Diceros bicornis minor: one gene and its partner. The protein of the gene in region 1 interacts with the protein of each later gene in a pairwise test. Links are inferred from orthologs where the notes say so. Each region holds a gene or a part of one and is shown on either strand. Other genes may lie near its edges. The genes, in order: DNPEP and MPP1.

Region 1 (10,194 bases):
TGGTGGTTAAGTTCCAGTGCTCTCTGCTTCGGCAGCCTGAGTTCGCAGGTTCGGATCCCGGACATGGACCTACACCACTTGTCAGCCATGCTGCTATTACTGATATCTTCCCCCATTTCACAGATGAGGAAACTGAGGCTCAAAGTGGTATGATGGTAAATGTTTAACAATTAGCTCTCTGGAAGGAAAAAAAAAAGAGCCCTGATTTGTGGTGTTTGCCAATCTCGGTAGTGGAAATACTCCCAGGCCAGTTTCAAGCTAGGAGGCTCATATCGTTGAAGGTCGAATTGGGAAGAGATGGGAGTGGGAGCTGGCTGCAGCACCCCACTGCACGCATGGCCCACAGCTAGTTGATGGAGGAGCCAGGACTTGAACCAGAGTGTGTCTGGTCCCAAGCCCACATGCATAACCACTTTGTTATCCCGTCAACAACTACACAAGATCCTTGACATTTCAGAGGGAAACATCTTAAGACCTTTGCGAAGTGCCAATTTTACAATCCTCCATAAAACCCCCAAGGTTAATCACCAGCACTTCCCTATATCTCTGTTTTTATCACCAACAGGAGCACGTGGTTTTTTTTTGGACGGCCAATGAAAAAAACTTTTTTTTTGAAATAATTATACAGTCACAGGAGGTTGCAAAAAGAGTACAGAGAAGTCCTGTGTACCCTTCACTCAGTTTCCCCTAAAGGTTACATCTCCGTAACTACAGCCCAATATCCCAACCAGGCAATGGACGTTGGTGAAATGTGTGTGGATAGTTCTATGCCATGTTATCCAGAATTGTGAGATTTAGCAAATAAAAATACAGGACACAGTTAAATTTTAAGTGTAAATATATCCTGTGCAATATTTGGGACATATACTGTACTTATAATACTTAGAAATTATTCTTTATTTATCTGAAATTCCAATATAACTGGGTGTCCTGTATTTTAGCTGGCAACCCTAATTTTATCACAGGTGTAGAATCATGCAACCACCACCGTAATCAAGATAGAGAACTATTCCAGAACCACAGCGATGTTCCCTGTCCTATTCCTTTTAGAGTCACACCCAGCCCTTCCTCCACCCTCCCGAGGCCTTGGCAACCACGAATCTGTTCTCTATCTCTAGAATTTTGTTCTTTTTTTCATGCAATATAATACTTGTGGGATCCATCCACATCGTGGCAATTATCAATAGTTTGTTCCTTTTTATTGCTGGAGAGTATTCGATGAGGGCCATTTTCTCACAAAGAACAATTATTATTATTTATTTATTTATTTATTGCTGAGGAAGATTCACCCTGAGCTAACATCTGTGCCCAACCTCCTCTATTTTGTATGTACGTCGCCACCACAGCCTGGCGGACGAGTAGTGTAGGCCCGCCCCCAGGATCCGAACCCTCGAACCCAGGCCGCCGAACTGGAGCATGCCGAACTTAATCACTAGGCCACGAGGCTGGCCCCAAGAACAATTATTTTTTAAAATTTCATTCATTCAATAAATACTTATCGAACATCTACCATATGCCAGGTGCAGACACGGAGCAAGCAAGGAGCTAGTTGCAGTCAGGGTTGGGGTTCTTGCCAGGCAAGTAAGCAAATCCAGACTGGGCAAGGGACTCGAAGGCATACTCAAGGGACTCCATTATAAGGATGGAGCACAGGATTAATGCTGGGTAGGAGGGAAATGGAGACGAGACGAGTAAGGAACAGGAAAAAGACAGGATCAATAGTTCGTAGTTCTGTCTAGGTGAACCATTAATGGAGTTGGTTTCCCTATCTCCTTCCCAGTTCCTTTTTTGTTTAAATATCAACATCAAAAGAAACATTCCATCCTCTTCCCCCTTCCACATGAAGACACAATTCACAATTTCCACAGCAGAAGGTAACAGAGCTTTACGTGGGCATTTTTTATCTGAAGCCTTTAGGGTTAGATGCTAATCAACAAATCCTTACTCACTCACTCAGGGTACAGAAGAAAACAAAATTATGGTCACAAAGTACTTAAAGATCATCTTTCCACTTGTTACTTTTTAAATTTACTTATTTCGTTCTTAAAAGTAGGTAAAACGTGTACATAGGAAAAAATTCAAAAAGTGCAAAAGGATTTATAGGAGAAGAAAGTGTTCCTTCCACCCCAGACCGTCAGCCACCCCATTTCTCCTTCCCAGAGTCAGTTACCATGTTCTTGTGACTGCCGACATATTTTAAACATATAAGTATATTTGTGTGTGCATCTGAGTGTTTACACACACAAACGGCAGCATACCTGCTAGTCTGCACTTTATTTTTTCACTTACTAGTGTTATCCTGGAAGTTATTCCCTATCAGTACCTATAGAGGTGCTTCATTCTCTTTAACCATATAAAGTACTTTCTAAGCCTCCCTCCTAGAACATAATTGGTTGGAAATTATAATCTTCCTTAGCTACTCGCCTCGAGGCATCCTGGAACTTGTAGTCCTTGATCAGTTGAGTCTTGCACGGAAAACAGGACTTGAGCAGAAGACATGTGTTGGAAACTAAAGTACCCTTCCAACCACACTGTAAGAGGACACATGGTACCGTGTTATGCACGTTCCTACCGTTATACCTGGAAGCAAATTATTTATTCATTTAAACAACCAACACATCTACCAGCAATGAGATACCCAGAGCTCTCTTGGCATCAGGAAATCAAGATCATCTGATTCAGCCCCTCTCTAAATGCACCTATTTTAGCAGACAGGGGCAGGACACACACACACGCACGCAGGCACACACACTCCACAATAAATGAATAATGATAGCATTATAAACACAGCTAAGGACAGGTAGGGAAGCTTTTCTCGGGAGGCTGAGGGCAAGAATGATCCTCAGAAACTTTTTTTGGATAGCTAAGTTCCCCCCTTGATCCTCCCACTTCACATCCAAGACCATTCCCTTATCCAGAGACGACCACTCTCCTTCCAAACCTGTTTCCATGCATTTACATATGTATTTACATAAAATCTAGAAATTTAGTTCATTATGTAAGTTTTACCTAAACGCTCTTGCCCTGTAAATATTATTCTGGAAATTGTTTTTTTTTCTACTCAACAATATATCTGGAACTTTTTTCTATTAACCTCACATTATTTTTTTTCTGCCACATGGTACTTTAAAACACTGTGTCTCAACTTTAATGTGCATTCAGGTCATCTAGGGATCTTGTTAATACAAAGATTCTGATTTGGTGGGTCTGGGGTAAGCCCTGAGGGTCTGCAGTTCTAAAAAGTTCTCAGGTCTTATAGATGCTCCTGGTCAACAAATCACGCATTGAGGAACAAAGGTGTAGAGAAGGAGCGAAGTTGTGTGCTACAGCCAACCTGGACCAGCTCATAAGAACTGACTGTCAAATTTCCAAGAATTTTGTGATCCCATTGTTACACACAGCAATCATTAAAAAATTAAATTATATAAACTTACAATTAAATAAATCATATTAAAAACAGATAATAAATACTCAAAAATCATCACTTTCTCAACTATTTTAATATAAACCTATGCTCTTGGGGTTATTTATGTCGATTATGTCTGTATGGTGGAAATCTATACAATGCTATGCTTTTGTGCATCTCTTCCCAACTCCACGTTCAGTTCATGTTGGCAGCTTGGAACCAGCAATGGGGAGGGTTGACACCACAGAAATTAGGAATAAAGGCATGTTACCCCAAGCCTTCTCCAACGTTTCGTACTACCAGTCTTTTTCTATTTTGCTAATCTGACAAATCAAAAACGGGATCTCATTTTTAACTTGCATTTCCCTGATTACAGTGAGACTGGGTCTCTCTTATGTTCATTCGTAGGAATTTAATAGTATTTCTTGTTCTTGTAAATAGGACTTTTTTATCATTATATTTTCTAGTTGATTATGGCACAGGAAGGCTGATGATTTTTAGAATCAGACCACCGCTCCTACCAGTTCTAATAGCTTGTCAGTTTATTTTCTTGGAGGTTCCAGGGACTCATATAACCTACAAATGATGACAAGTTTTACTTTTCCGTATATGCAGCTGTTTATTTGGCTTTGTGGCGATGGCTCTGACTGCAGGTCCCCACTGACCACCGGCGGTCACAGCTGGTTATATCTTACTTCTGATTTGAACAGGACACTTCCGATTTCCCCGCTAATATCTGCTGTAGATTTCTGGCAGACAGCCTTTATCCTTTCTCTTCCTGCTTTCTTAAGAGGATTTCGTTTGGGTTTTTATCAAGAACGGATGTTCAATATATTAAACATTTACTTTCCCTTTCTACGTTACACACTTTGGTGATATTTGAACTTTTCACATTAACCTGTACTCTTTTTTGTGATCAGAAGAACATGAGAGAGTCTTCTTTAAGTTAAATCTCCTTCCCTTATACATTGTACCCCTGTCTCAGCTCTTTTCACTGTCATTAAGTATGTCCCCAGTAGCCAGCATCTGGCCCCTCAGATGAAAAAGATGTTCTCCCCATGTCCCACTCAGCACTGAAACTTTATACATAGTAAGATTTCAATAAACGGTTAGGGGACCGGCCCCGTGGCTTAGCGGTTAAGTGCACACACTCTGCTACTGGTGGCCTGGGTTCGGATCCCGGGCGCCTGCTGAGGCACCGCTTCTCCGGCCATGCTGAGGCCACGTCCCACATACAGCAACTAGAAGGATGTGCAACTATGACATACAACTATCTACTGGGGCTTTGGGGGAAAAAACGGAGGAGGATTGGCAATAGATGTTAGCTCAGAGCTGGTCTTCCTCACAAAAAAAGTAAATAAATAAAAAATAAAATAAAAAAATTAATGGTTAGGGAATGCCATGAATTTAACCCATCACCTGGTGTGTATCTTCTGGAACACTAACCTGCAATATCTATTCCTTTGAAGTGAGGGCTGCAGGACCTTCCAGCTACTCTTCCCCGAACATTCCCACCCCAGGTCGAACGTTCCCACCCCAGGTTATAAGAGGCACGTTGTTCCGTTGACCAGTAATCCCTGGAGTGTTGATAACACCCCTATGTTATCTGTTGGGCCCTGTTTTGAACCTAGGGGCCACCAAGAGTCCTGATCAGAATCTACAGCTAGGCAGGTGCCTGAGTTTTTTAAATTGCTACTCACCACTCTTGACATATGAATACTGGAATTGCCACCAAGAACATATGGAGGTTTTTTTTCCCTGTCGTTTCAAGAAATGGAAAGAGTACATACAGATTCAAGTCAAATCCCACATGCATCCAAACAGCTGTGTGATCTTGGTCAAATCATGAACTTCTGTCCCTCAGGGCCCTCTGTGTAACATTACACAGAGCAAGGTGCATAGAAAAAGGCCCAAAGAAGATCTGAGAGTGGATTGTTCCCAGGCCCCCGGAATCGAATTAATTGAGTCCAAACCCCACCTCTGGCCATTTACTACCTTGGACAGGTTACTCGTCTCTGTATTTGGGTTTGTTCATGGATAACATTGGGACAGTATAAGTACAAAGTTGATAGGGCAGTTGTGAAGATTAAACAAGGTAACACGTTAAGCTTGACCACCAAGCTAAAGCTCATCGTCAGCGCTCCATGAACACCAGCCATGTTGCTTTTATTATCTCAAGGCTGCCTGTGGAGAGAGAGAGCACTTTGTACAGCACCCGTTGGACCAGGTGAGCTGGCGGGGACGAGTTTTTTCTCGGACTCTGACGCGGGGGACGAGCGGGGACGACGGGTCTCGGCTGTCCTCGCACCTCCGGGACGGCAGAGGGCCCCCGCCACCGCCGCGGACGGTGCGGCGAGGGGCGGGGCGGACGGTGCGGCGAGGGGCGGGGCGGACGGTGCGGCGAGGGGCGGGGCGGACGGCGGGGGCGGGGCGGACGGTGCGGCGAGGGGCGGGGCGGATGGTGCGGCGAGGGGCGGGGCGGACGGTGCGGCGAGGGGCGGGGCGGACGGCGGGGGCGGGGCGGACGGCGCGGCGAGGGGCGGGGCGGACGGCGGGGGCGGGGCGGGCCGAGCGCCGGGGCCGGGCGAGCAGAAGCAGGCCCTGGCGGGGGCTATGCAGGTGGGTGTCCGCCGCCGCCCCGCTCGAATTTCGATCCCAGACCCGACCCTGCGTCCGCTGGGGCACACGCTTAGCAGCGCGCTGAAGTGGGGGCCGCGCCCGATCAAAGCGAAACCGAAAGCCCGGCCCGGGTGACCTGACCTTCCTGGGTTGCCAAGGGGTGGCCTGCAGAGACTGGCGGGTGGCGGGGAGGTGGGTAGTCCCTAGAGAACACGTGGTGCAGGCCGGCTCAGAGCTAGGGGCGCGCTCGGACGTGGGGAACCCGCCGGGATTTCTCAACTGGGCAGGCACGTGGGGGCCGGACTTAGGGGGCGGGGCTAAAGCTCGGATTAGGGGGCGGGCGCTCTTGGACGAGCTGGGCGGAGAGCGAGGCTGGGGTTGTGATACTTTGGCTGGAGGGCCGGAGCTTTCAGTGGAGAGAGGTTCGACCCGGAGTCTGCGCGTCTCTGTGGGGAAAGGGGCGGAAGCAGAGGCTTGAGCCTTGGAGCGATCAGTTCGGGGGGATTTGCAGGGGGGAGTCCCCGGAGCCTGGATGGTAAGTCAGGCGTCCCAGACCTCATCGGAGTCTGAGCGCCCCCCTCCTCTAGGTGGCCATGAGTGGCAGGGCCCGCAAAGAGGCAGTGCAGGCCGCGGCCCGGGAGCTTCTCAAGTTCGTGAACCGGAGCCCCTCTCCTTTCCACGGTAAGTGACCAGGGCAGCTGAGGAGGGTGGGCCCCGTGTGGCCCCTACCGGCTTCCATCGCTATGAGAGGCTTCTTTCCCTACAGCCGTGGCCGAGTGCCGCAGCCGCCTCCTCCAGGCTGGCTTTCATGAACTCAAGGAGACGGAGACTTGGGATATCAAGCCCGAGAGCAAGGTACCAGGGGTGTGGTGGGAGCGGAGAGGCAGGAACCCAGGCTGGGTCTCAAAGTCTGTGTGCCAGCTGGCTGGCTAATCCAACTCCCCCTCCCTGCCAGTACTTCCTGACCAGAAACTCCTCGACCATCATCGCTTTTGCTGTGGGAGGCCAGTATGTTCCTGGTAATGGTTTCAGCCTCATTGGAGCCCACACGGACAGTCCCTGCCTCCGGGTAAGGAACTGGGGCTGTGCTGGGGTAGGGGAGGCATCAGAAGAAGGAGTACAGGGCAAAAGAGAGCCCGGGGGTACAAATCAGGGGCTCTGTTCACTAGAGCAAGGAAGAGGACTTGTCGCCCCCTTCCTCCCCATCTTGAGCCCTTGTCTGTCACAAATATTCATTTATGTTACTTAGCTTTGAACGGTCTGTCTCATCTCCAAGCCTTGTGTTGCGGCCTCTGATTCTCGTTCCCCATGCTCACACTCAGGTGAAACGGCGGTCTCGCCGCAGCCAGGTGGGCTTCCAGCAGGTTGGTGTGGAGACCTATGGCGGTGGGATCTGGAGCACCTGGTTTGACCGTGACCTGACCTTGGCTGGACGTGTCATTGTCAAGGTGGGCACTGGGGTTGGACCTGGGAGGTTCTCAGCTTCAGCTGCTTGGAGATTGGCTATCACCTTTCTTCGGGGTACCTGTGGACAGCCCCCCGGGGCAGGAGGGTAGGGCAGTCGGGGTCAGGGGATCACCCTGGTTAGTCTGGGTGAAGTGGGGGCTTTAGCTGGCTGTGGTTGGGAGGTGCCCTGGGCTGACCTGGCCTGGGGGGCCACAGTGCCCGACCTCAGGCCGGCTGGAGCAGCGGCTGGTGCACGTGGACCGGCCCATTCTTCGCATCCCGCACCTGGCCATCCATCTGCAGCGAAATGTCAACGAGAACTTTGGGCCCAACATGGAGATGCACCTGTGAGACTGGGCAAGGGCTGTGGTGACTGGGAGGAATGGGGGGTGGCACCAGTGATGGAAGGGTGATGGTGGGACCTGGGAGACCGCTCCTTACTGGGGACCACCATCAGCTTCTCCTCTTAGGACCCAGCTGGAAATTGAAGGGCAATAGCAGTTTCCCATCAGGAGATGCCTGAGCTCAGGGGTGCCCTCCAGCCCTCCCCAGCCCCCCATCACATGTCTCCCCACAGGGTCCCCATTCTTGCCACGGCAGTCCAGGAGGAGCTGGAGAAGGGGACTCCAGAGCAAGGGTCTCTCAATGCTGCAGTAAGAGAGTCCCTGCTCATGGGGAGGGGTAGGCCGAGGGGGAGGGGGAGGAAAACAGAGCCTCTTCCCAGCATCCTTCTGCCCTGCAGGATGAGCGGCACCACTCAGTCCTCATGTCTCTTCTGTGTGCCCACCTGGGGCTGAGCCCCGAAGACATCTTGGAGATGGAACTCTGCCTGGCAGACACACAGCCTGCGGTGAGGAATGGCTGTAGGCACTTGTGGCTGGGGACCTCTGGGATCCCAGCCTGTCCCAGCATGTCCCCAGAGGCACTCATCACCTCTGCCAGTCCCCCGGTTACCGTCATCCCTGTTCTTGCCAGTAGACACCATCCTTTCTGCCTCCAGGGCAGTGGTTCTCCAAAGGGCAGTTTCCTTCTGCAGACCTGCCTACTCGGACTGTCTGGGCTGGAGCCTGGGACTTGACCTTTCCACAGATTCCTCAGGAATTTCTGCCACGGGTGGTCCCTGTCTACTGTGACCCACGCTGGCCTGAACCTCTGAGAACAAGAGGCCTGGCTGTGACGGCCCTGTTTCTGGAGCCTGTCCTCGTGTCCTTCCCAGTTACCAACAGTAGGAGATTGCCAAGAATTGGATGCTCGGTCCTATTTGAATGTGCACTATGGTCCTGTTTCTTGCCTTATCTCCTTCTGTTTATTTCCTTAGCTTTTGTTGTGACCCTTCACCCCGCCCTTTTCCTGTCCCACAGGGAGTGTGTGGGAACTACAGGCCTCCATCCTCCTGTCCCTCAGCTGCAGCCCGGCCCCCTTCACCATTCTCCGCTCAGCCCTGTGCAGCGGGGATCATAGTGCCCTAGGCCAGGGGTCGGGGAGAGGTTGCACAAGGAGGCTTACTCAAACTCAGGCCCTTGGGAACAGGGGGATGCAGGTGAGTTGGAGCAAGGGGTCGAAGTTCAGGCTAACTGTCCTATCTTTCTAGGTCCTGGGTGGGGCCTATGAGGAGTTCATCTTTGCCCCTCGGCTGGACAATCTGCACAGCTGCTTCTGTGCCCTGCAGGTGAGGGGCTGGGGTGCTCCCAGGCAGCACATACCACCAGGAGAGCTGGAGAGTTTGGGGAGGGGCTGCCTCAAGCCCCAGCAGGTCGTGAGATGGCTGCTGGCCATCCCCGCAGTCTGCCGGTCCTGGGTGGCCCACAGGGACGGGACTAAAGGCTGCAGCCTCAGTATCTCCGTGTGGCCCCATCCTCCACTGGCCTGGGGCCAGGGGCTGAGGTAGGGGAAGGTGGAGAGGCTGTTTAGGGCACCAGTGTCCTGTCCTAACCTGCTTCTGCTGCTTCTCCCTTAGTTAACCTCTGCTTCAGGGGAAAGGCCCTAGCGTCCCATAAGGCAGTATCATCCACCTCCCTCTGGCCCCCCCACCCCAGGCTGAAGTGCCCCCAGCCTTCTCTCTGTGCCTTGGAACCTCAGTGGGGTGGTCTCTCTTCTTCCTAGCCACCTTGGTATTCCCCACCTTCTTTCTGTCATAGTCAGTTCCCTCTCTCCTCACCCCTCCCTCTGCCCTTTCCTACCTCTCTTCCCTCCCCATCCTGTTCTTGGAGACGGGCTTTGGGCTGTACTTGAGACCAGAACCAGACCTGGGACACATACCGTCTTCTGCCACCAGCTAGTCAGTCATGTCACCTTGATGGAGCCACAGTCACCTCTTGGACCTCGATCTTTTCACTGAGGACTATTAGTTTACATGATCTGTTTGGTCCTTTGGACTTGGCAGGATTCTCAGCCCTTCCCCTCCACCTGACACGTCCTCCTGCCTTTTGCATGGGAAGGTGTGGGAGAAGAACACCCAAAGGGCAGTGTCCCATCCCGTTACAAGGCCCCCACGCCAGGCAGTGCCCTGAGAGAGGAAGGCCAGTGAGAGCCCACACCCACTTCGCTCTGGCTGTTGACGACAGAAGGCGGGCGGGGAGTGCGAGCCTCCGTGGTGTCGGTGGGCTGTTAGAGAAGAAGAAGGGTGAGGATGGTGCTCTCGTTCTCCCCTCAAACCAGGCCTTGATCGATACCTGCGCAGCCCCTACCTCCCTGGCCTCAGACCCCCACGTGCGCATGATTGC
Region 2 (9,767 bases), on another chromosome or scaffold:
GATATGCACTATGGAGAAAAATAAAGCAGAAATGGGGCGAGGGGGTTTGCAATTCTAAATAGGCCTTGCAGGGAAGGTGACTTTTGAGCAAAAAAACGCTGTATGTGCTTTGCTCATGTATATTTCTATATATGAAGGGAAAAAGAAAGAGTGAAGAATCAGAAAAGAAAATTCCATGTTACAAAAGTTGTATCTGGTTCCCTAATTCAGAGCTTTTCTTCCTGTTCCCCACCCCTGAGGTCACTTCCCCTCCCCCAGCCAATTTTGGAAATCCGGGGATTTACTCTGGCCTTTCTACACTCCACACCAGGAGTCCTCCTTTTTTTAGCAACACTGAAGGGTCTGAGCAATTTAGTGCTTAGGGGAAAAATCTCTGCATCAATGAAATGTCAACTGATTACCCCTGATTTAAGGGAATTGATCTTGGCCTGAAATATCTAATTCACTGTCAGGGAACATGAGCTAGGAAAGGTTATCTTCTCGAATTTAAAATATTGACTAGAATTTACATGATAAAACTCTAATTTACTTAGCCTCCAGTGGTCACAATAAACCCAGATTCTTACCTGCAAGGTATACCAAGTCCTTTCTTTTGAAAGGCAGTCATAAAGTTCCTTGAAGGGAAGGGTAAGGCAGGAGCCAGACAGGCTGAGACTACACCATGTACTGGGAAAAGTGGTGAGAGGACTAAATAATTTGAAAATTACACTTTATTTTCTATTATCCTTTCTGTGAAAAGAAAAACCTCAAATGGAAAAATTCCCTCCTCACATGAAGCAACCAGATCCAAGTCTGGAGCAAAAGTTCTTCCTTAGGCAAAATCAGAGAACATCAGGAGCAGCCTCACTGACAATGCACACCACAGACCGGCCAGACTCAGTCAGCTTCTTGCCAGCCCAGAAGGTGCCACGCTTAGCAAGAACCTGGATGTCTTTGCACAGGCGGTTGCCCCTGCCTGGAGTGCTATACACCAATTACATCCTAGAGACCACACGACTCAGGCTCCGACAACTTCCCAGCACCCCACACCTGCCTCTGTGTCCTCCCTTACTGACTTCCTGGCCCCAGCACCAGGCCTGTACACAGTAGGCAATCAACAATCCTGTGTCAGAATGAGAGATTACCAGTGTGGAGTAATACCGCATCTCATGGCCTAAGAATCAACAGATAGGTCTTCTCAGTAGAAACTCACCTGGAGCCTGCTTAGGCCATTTGTTGATGTGGGATAGGCCCAAGTGAATTTTCAGGGATTCTCAACCTATTGCTTCAGGTCATGGGAAAAGTGCTGCTTCAAACAGGACTGAAGAGAAAAGCAGTATTAGGAATTTTACAACCAATTCTATGCGCATTAATGGATACTGCTGTAAAGAATAAGGCCAGAGAGAGCTTATAAAATTAGTTTCTCCAAGGAAGGAAAAATACTTAAATATGGGAGACAGGCTACAGTTCAAACATACTGCAAAATTATCTTTTGACAATACTTTATTAAATGTGGACTATGACTGGAAGTGAAACTTTGGGTTTTGAGTCTTTAGAACTTTTCAGAAAGCAATCCCCTTAAATGAAGCCTTCAGTAACAGAATTTTATGAATTCCATTAAAGCCAACAACTTCCTCACAGGTTTTCCTGCTTCTTGCCAGTATAGGAAAACGTGCTGACTGCGACTGGACAGGCAGCTCTCAGGGAGATGTTGGATGTCCTGGTGTGGTTCAAAGTGCTTGATAAGCATTGCCTCAGGTAAACATCACCACAACCCTCCAAGCAGGTCCATTTTACAGAGAAGAGAAACCTAAGGCACAGAGAGCTTCAGCAGCTTGCCCAAGGCCACACAGCAAGTGAAAGGCAGAGCCTAGCGTTGGCAGCAAAGACTAGAAAGAGCCCCAAAGAGAAGGCGAATCTTAAGAAATAAGAATCAGCAGGTTCACGGGGTCAAGCCACCCCTCACCATATGGAGATTCTCCCCATGATGTCCACACCTTGGCAGACTAGGATGCTATTTCATTCAGGGATTTAGCAAGTTTTCTAATTTCATCTTCTTCAAATCCTTGAATAACACCAAAACAAACTGGCTAACTGGTAGACTGCATCCAGTATTTTAGGGTGAACTCATAGCTCCACAAAAACTACTGTTTACTCAGAGGATGTGCCCACAACATAACTCTCGTAGTGATGGGGCCTGTTTTCAAAAAGGCAAGCAATCTCTCCAGTCGGCCCATAAGGAGCAGACAGGTTTACACAAAGTCTGGTCATCAAGTTACAGACTGGGCCCAGGTTGTGCTGAGGGAAAGGAGCCAGAGAGAAAGGACTGCATATAGCTGGATTCTGTTTATAAGGCAGTCTTGAAAAGGCAAAATGATAGTGCTGGAAAGCAGATTCATTCCCAGGGTGGTTTCCAGGTTTCCAAAGTGGGGGAGTGACTGTAAAGGGCCACGAGAGAACTTTCTGGAGTGATGCAAATGTTCTATAGTATGGTTTTGGTAATGGTTACATGACTGGATGCATCTGTCAAATCTCATCGAACTGCACATTAAATTCGTGAATTACACATATGCTAATTATACCTCAAAGCTGCCGAAAGTAAATTTAATAAAGAGATTTTTTTGAAAAAGTTAAGGCTCAGCCAAGTGAGTTGATTATGGGGAAGAAAAAACATCACATGTCCAACCTTATGTGGAACCAGGTAGTTTTAGACCCTGATTCCCTCCTAGTGCACATTCCACTGCATAACTTCCAATTTTGTCTTGTCATCTGAATAACAATGACGTCTTCCCCACCTGTTCATTGTGGCAATCCTTTATGCCTACAGTATGGTGATCATGATTTGTATGAACACTGCACTCTGAGTGTAGTATAAAGGAAAGGCAATGTGGTGAAGCAGAAAGTACACTGAGCTTTGACTCTGCAGATACAAAATCTAGCCTCAGTTCTGAGGCTTATCAATTGTTTCCTTAAGCTAATGCCCAGAGTCTACAGCTCTACTGTTTGCCTTACCTCGTGGATTTTCAGTTTGGTCATCTGTGAAAGCAGAAGGTTACGCTAAATCTCTAATATCCACCTCTTCAGTCATTTGCTAATTAAGCAAACATTTCTGAGGACCCATTTATTAGGCATTTAAAATTAAAAAAGTGACTGTGAAACAGCCTTGCCCTGGACGATCTCTAAGTCTAGGAAAGAGATGCACACTATGACTTCTGAGGGTGGGTCATCAAAAGCAACACAGCCTCTGCCTGGCTCTCTCTCTCTCTCTATCTCTGTGGATATTCACTCTTAATACCTGGCCACCATGCTGGTCTGTCTTCTGGCTGATGGCTTCAACTGACAGCCAGCCTCAGCCTCCAGATGAGTGAGTGAGTGAACGTTCTGGTGGCTTTGCCCTTGCCTGAGAGACGGTGAGTGACAACTTTACCTTGCTGGGTCCAACCCACACCCGGAACTATGAGAGATAATAAGAAAATGCTCAACCTTCCCTCTGGGCATCTTTGAAGATACAGGTTAACAGCTATTAACCGGCCATCACAGGAATCTGGAGGGCAGAATTACCTCTGAAATCCTTGGATTCCTTGTCCACCCACAAGTATACACAGGCCACTCCATTTACACCCTAGCACAGGGGGCCCTGCCTAAATGCAGAGGGACAGTGAGTGAGCACTTTAGAGCCAGATTTGGCTTTTATAACCTTTTTTGGTGACCCAAATACAAGCATTTCAACAACTACCCCGCAAACCTACTCTTGGATCTGTTCCTTAAAGTGTTTCTGTTACCCTGACTTCCATCCACGAAGTTTTCCTTGACCTTAATAAGCGCTCTGTCCAGGCCGCGGCCTCTCCTATTTCCACCTACAAGGGGTGCTGGGGGCAACGACCTACGACACCCGAAGCCCCGCAGGAACTCCTCTGGCCGCCGCGGCCTCCACCCTGGGGAGAGGCCCCCCGAGGACAGGCCCCCTGGAGGCAGGGCCGCGGTCGGGGGAGGTCCCGCGGCGAGCAGCGCGGCCTGGAGCCGAGTCCCGGCCCCGCACCCCGCGCCCTGGGGACCCGCAGGACCCGCTCACCTCGGGCCGGCTGCGCTTCTGCAGCAAGTGTTCCAGGTAGAGGTCGGAGAGCGCGGTGCGCATGCTGCCCCCGCCCTCGCCCTCGCTCGCCTTGAGCGTCATCTTGCAGGAGCCGGAACCCAGGGAAGCAGTGACTCGGGTCCGGGCGGAGCCGGGAGTGCCAGGCCGGGGGCCTGGGGAACGGCGGAGGCGGAGGCGGAGGCAGCGGGTCGCGACGCGACTGGGCCGGTCACCACCCCGCAGGCTGCGCGCCAGGCGGGAGGGGGCGGAGCTCCGCCCACGCCCGGGCCCCCGCGAAGGCTGGCGCCCGGGGTCCTGAGGGCCGGAAGGAAGCGCAGCTCTCGCCACCGCCGCTGCGGCTGAGTCCCGGAGGGGTCGTGGGAATAAAGAAAACGGCGCCCAAACTGCGGAGGGCCCCCCAGCCTCCAGCTGGTTAAGCGTACCGCCCACACCCTCGCCAAATTCGTGGGGATGGCAGGGAAGCCGCTCCTTCAACTCCGGGCTCTACCCATAAATCGATGCGGGCACAGGACGTTGCGAAAATGCCCTTGAGGCTCCTACGCTGCTGGTGCCCTGTTATTTACATTGCTGTCTGCAGTTCAGTAATGAAAGACCTGATTGCCTCCAACAACAAACTGTTTTTACTTGTCTGAGGCCACATCGGCTGCTGTTAATGCCATGAAAATTTTGAGGGATCAGTGAAAGCGACGGGAGCCGATATCCCTTAGGAATCTTACAGCAGGATTCCTTAGCATCCTATTGCATTGGTGGCGTTAAAACAGCAGTCTAAATGATGGAAAGCTTTCTGAACAAAACACACATTTACTGGGCTTACAGGGCTCAGGGCTGTCCACCATATGTATACACCTTTACCTGATAAAAACCTGACCCCCTTTACCCCAAGCTAGTAACCTCACAGTATCATAAGCAGATCATTTCTCTGTATAATCTGATTCAGACCTTCCAATGGCTCATAGCCAAGAGGAGAAAATCCAAGGGCAAGAATTTGGAGCCGGATCGCCCAGTTTTCTCTGCTAAAAGGCTTGAGCTCACGTGATTGATGGCTCCCTTCCCCAAGATTACCCTAAAGGAACCATAGAAGACTGAGACAGACAGAGACTGAGACAGAGAGAGAGCAAGACCTTTGAAATTCAGAGTGTGATTTTGCTGCAGGAATAGACTAATGGAGCAATGGGATAGATTAGAGAATACAGAAACACACCCTTGCATGTGTAAAACTGTGGGATATGATCAAGGTGGCGTGTTAAGGAAGTCAAGAGGAACTCATTAACTGAAACTGGAAAATGGTTATTTATATTGAAAGAGATGAAACTGGAACCCTCCTCCATGCCATATGAAAAAAAAATGTACTCCAGATGGATTAATGACTTAAATGTTAAAAACACAACTTTTAAGGCTCTTGACAGAAAACATCAGCAAGGAACTTTTAGATTTTAGGGTAGAGAAAGATTTCTTAAACAATGCAAACAAACCATTTACTATAAAACAGAATATTGATAACTTTGACTTTGCTAGCATTAACGACTTTTACTTATCAAGAGACAAAGTAAAAAGCAAAAAAGACCAGATATGCATTGGGAGAAAGTATTTTCAATACACACAAGTGACAAAGGATTCGTATTGTGAATATATAAAGGACTACAAATTAATAAGAAAAACACAAACAATCCAGTAGAGAAATGGGTAAAAAGCATGAATAAACATTTCACAGATGGAGAAACACATATGACCAATAAACAAATGAACAGATATTCAACCACGTTAGTGACAAGGAAATGCAAATCAAAACTACAATGAAATACCACTGTACACCCATTCAATTATCAAATATTAAAAAGTCTAACAATATCAACTGCTGGAGAGGATGTGAATCCATATGAGTTCTTGAACATTGCTACTGGGAGTCAAACTTGGTACTACGAGTTAGGAAAACCGTTTTCCATTATCTCTTAAAATTGAACATGCATCTACCCTCTCATCCAGCAATTCCATTCCTAGGTATATATATCCAGCAGAAATTCTTGAATTGGTACAACGAGGGCCATGTACAACAATGTTCATAAAAATATTTTGTTAATAGCAAAAACCAGTGAACAACTCAAATGCCAATCCACTGTGGCATATCCACACAATGGAATATTATTGAAACGAGAAGAAAACGAATCAGAAATACATGCATATATAAAATAGAGAAAAACACTTCCTCACCCCTTCCCACTCCCTAGAGGAAACAACCTTCCCCAGTTCGGTCTGTAACCTTCCAGGCCTTCCTCTATGCACATACAAAATATTCAAAATTAGAGTTGCCTTGTTTGTCCAGGTAAAGAAACCATAGTATGCATGGTCTTGCTCCTTCTCCTGAGCCAAACCATTCTTCTTTCCCCCAGCTCCCCATGAAGCAGGCCTCCTCTGAAGCCCAAGGCAAGATATTATAGCTGGAAGATTGGTTTCTGGGTTCACTATAAAACAGAGCCTGAATCAGAACATATGTGCTAAACCTTTATGGTAGGATCCAATCCCATGGGTGTATGAGTGAGGGAAAAAGGGAAGTGAGGCAGAGAAGGATGGACAGAAACTATAAATTGTGCTCCTGAGCTAGCCATTGCTATTGAAGAAAGTATAGCTTGTTTCTCAGTCTCCCTAGATGCGTCTAGACATGCTGTATAGAACCACAGTATCTTGAAATTGTCAAGGAGGGGAAAGGAACTGATCTGCCAGCGTCTTTTGGTCTCATCTCTCTCACTGGTCAAAGTTTACCCAGCCATGTGTTAATTTTCCCACACCTCTGAGTTGTGTTGCCTGGGTCTTGGCAGTCACTAGGGAGTCATCCCACATGCCACAGTTCAGTGCTGGATCTAGAAGTGATAGGAGGTGTCAGAATCTCCGTGGGTCTAGTCAGACTGAGCTTGAGAGGTATAAACTGGGTCCAATTTTCCCGTTTTTATATGTTAAATGGCTATAGTGATTGATATCAATACTTAAGAAATAGTTTCTGTCTTTCTTTCCATAAAATTCACCCATTTAAAGTGAAAAATTCAGTGTTTTTTAGTATAATCACAGAGTTGTACAACCATCCCCTACTATCTAATTCCAGAACTTTGTCATCACCCTCAAAGGAAACCCTGTACCCATTAACAGTCACTCCCCAGTCCCCTGTCCCTAGCCCCTGGCAACCACTAACCTATTTTCTTATGAAGATGTCAGTTCCCCCCAAATTGGCCTATAGATTCAATGCAATTCCAATAAAAATCTCAACAGATATGTTTTGTGAAACTTGACAATCTGATTTTAAAAGATGTGTGGAGTTGTAAAGAACAAGGATAGCCGAAGCTCTCTAGAAGAGCAAGGTGGGGGGACCTGCCTTCCAGATAGCAAGACCTGTAAGAAAGCTATGGTGATTAAGAGAGTGTGGCATAGGCACAAAAGTAGACAAATAGACCAATGGAACAGAAGAGAGACTAGAAACGGATTTGTGCATATTTAGATACTTGGTAACATGACAGGTGGCATTGCAGAGCAGTAGGGAAAGGATGGACTTGCACTGAGTGGTAGTAGTGGTACTGGGCGTTTTGGGGATCCATATTATCAAAATGGAAACCAAGACTGGTTAGAGGTGAAGGCAAACACTTTATCCAAATAATTGCAGTTGGAAGAACTTCAGAGAGAGTGATTCTTTGAGCAAAATTTAGTTGAAGTTTTTATTGAGGCAAAGCTCAGGGTGGAAAAGTACTGGGAGAACAAGTCGGCTGACTCAGAGGGTGGACGGTCACACAGCTTGTCTTTTTTTCAACATTCTCAGGCCTTTTGCTGGTCAGCCAGTTCTGGTTCAGGGTGCTCATTGCTCAGAATCTGGTTTTGCTCCTTGGAATTTATTGCTTCTCGGAATTTATTGCAACTACCTCCTTTTCTCAATTCCTAGAACTACCCTTAGGCACAGAAATTCAGTTCAAAGTTCATGAGTGGAAAAGTATAGCTTCTCACAATACCTGTATTAAAAAAAATGAAATTGGACTTGACCTCACACCTTACCAAAAATAATTCTGAGTAGCTTAAGGACTTAAATGTGAAATGCAAAACTATAAAACTTTTAGAAGACAAATAGGAGACTTCCTTTATGACTTTGGGGTAGAAAAATGATTTCTTAAACACACACCAAGAACACTAACATAGAGGAAAATGATTGCCAAATTTGACTACATTAAAATAAATACTTCCACTCACCAAAATACATCATATTGAGAGTGAAAATACAGTCCTAAAACTGGAGGAAGGTATTTTCCACATCTATAGCCTACAAAACATTAATATACAGAATATATAAAGAATTCCTGTGACCAATAAGGACTAGATGAAACTACAAATTAGAAAAATGGGCAAAATTCCTTAACAGGAATTTCACAGGAAAGAAAGACAAATGATCCATGAACATATGAAAAAGTCTTCAATCTCATCAGTTATCAGGGAAGTGAAAGTAAGAAAACAATAAGGTAGGGCCGGCCCCATGGCTTAGCGGTTAAGTGTGCGCGCTCCACTGTTGGACGCCCGGGTTTGGATCCCGGGCATGCACCGACGCACCGCTTCTCCGGCCATGCTGAGGCCGCATCCCACATACAGCAACTAGAAGGATGTGCAGCTGTGACATACAACTATCTACTGGGGCTTTGGGGGGAAAAATAAATAAATAGAATCTTTAAAAAAAAAAAGAAAACAAGATACAATTTTTCGTCCACCAGATGGGCAAATAAAGTGAAAGACTGATGATATTGCATGTTCTCAAGGATGTGGTATGACGGGAACATCACATTCCTACTGCTGGTAGTAGCGTAACTTGAGGCAATTGCTTTGAGACTGAGGTGGAACGTGCACTTCCCTTGACCCAGCAAGTCAATCACAGGGTATAGTCTTTATGGAAACTCTTGCGCATGTGCATGAGGAGACCTGTGCAATAATGTTTGTAGAAGCTTTATTAAAAATCCAGAAACAATACAAATGTCCTTCTACAGTTGATGGTCTAAATGAGTAGGGCTCTTTTCATACAATACGACGTTATACAGAATGGGTGAAGCAACAAGCATCAGCATGGATGAGTCTCAAAACAAAACAAGTAAAAGAAGAAAATCAGAGAATACATCCATATGATTTAGTTTTTATGAAGATTAAAAGTAGGCAAGGTGGGGCCGGCCTGGTGGCCTAGTGGTTAACTTTGCACGCTCTGCTTCAGTGGCCCTGGGTTCGCCGGTTCAGATCCCAGGCAGGGACCTGCACACTGCTTGTCAAGCCATGCTGTGGCAGGTGTCCCACATATAAAGTGGAGGAAGATGAGCACGGATGTTAGCCCAGGGCCAATCTTCCTCAGCAAAAAGGGGAGTATTGGCAACAGATGTTAGCTCAGGGCTAATCTTCCTCACCAAAAAAAAAAAAAAAGCAGGCAAGGCTGTGGTGTTAGAAGACAAGACAGGGGTTACCTTGGGGGTGAGAAGGGGCTGGTGATGTGGAGGGGGAGGAGGACAATGACTTTGTTCACTCTGTGCTCTTTTCTGTAGGTGTGCTATACTTCAAAAAAGGAAGTTTAAAATTTCTGGGGCACCAAGCCTCAGGATACTTCAAGAGTTCAAAAAATGCAGGCAAAATTAAATGATTTATTGCCAAACATAATCGGCAAAAATATAAAGAAAACCAAGGTAACAACACAATG

Evidence for each region.
Region 2: the proteins of DNPEP (region 1) and MPP1 interact in binary tests that used the Homo sapiens proteins (3 or more experiments, as listed by UniProt). The two-hybrid records come from large-scale screens. The link is inferred for Diceros bicornis minor from reciprocal best matches to the Homo sapiens genes DNPEP and MPP1.

The regions. Positions count from the first base shown.
Region 1 is NC_080776.1:9,660,329-9,670,522, reverse strand, and holds the start of DNPEP (aspartyl aminopeptidase), read left to right. Parts: upstream 1-5,967; 5' UTR 5,968-6,019; coding exon 6,020-6,025; intron 6,026-6,092; exon of another isoform or gene 6,093-6,111; intron 6,112-6,612; coding exon 6,613-6,706; intron 6,707-6,791; coding exon 6,792-6,880; intron 6,881-6,980; coding exon 6,981-7,094; intron 7,095-7,347; coding exon 7,348-7,473; intron 7,474-7,687; coding exon 7,688-7,818; intron 7,819-8,048; coding exon 8,049-8,124; intron 8,125-8,213; coding exon 8,214-8,321; intron 8,322-9,062; coding exon 9,063-9,140; intron 9,141-10,129; coding exon 10,130-10,194.
Region 2 is NC_080781.1:139,173,114-139,182,880, reverse strand, and holds the start of MPP1 (55 kDa erythrocyte membrane protein), read right to left. Parts: upstream 4,505-9,767; 5' UTR 4,154-4,504; coding exon 4,052-4,153; intron 1-4,051. UniProt on the Homo sapiens protein: Essential regulator of neutrophil polarity. Regulates neutrophil polarization by regulating AKT1 phosphorylation through a mechanism that is independent of PIK3CG activity.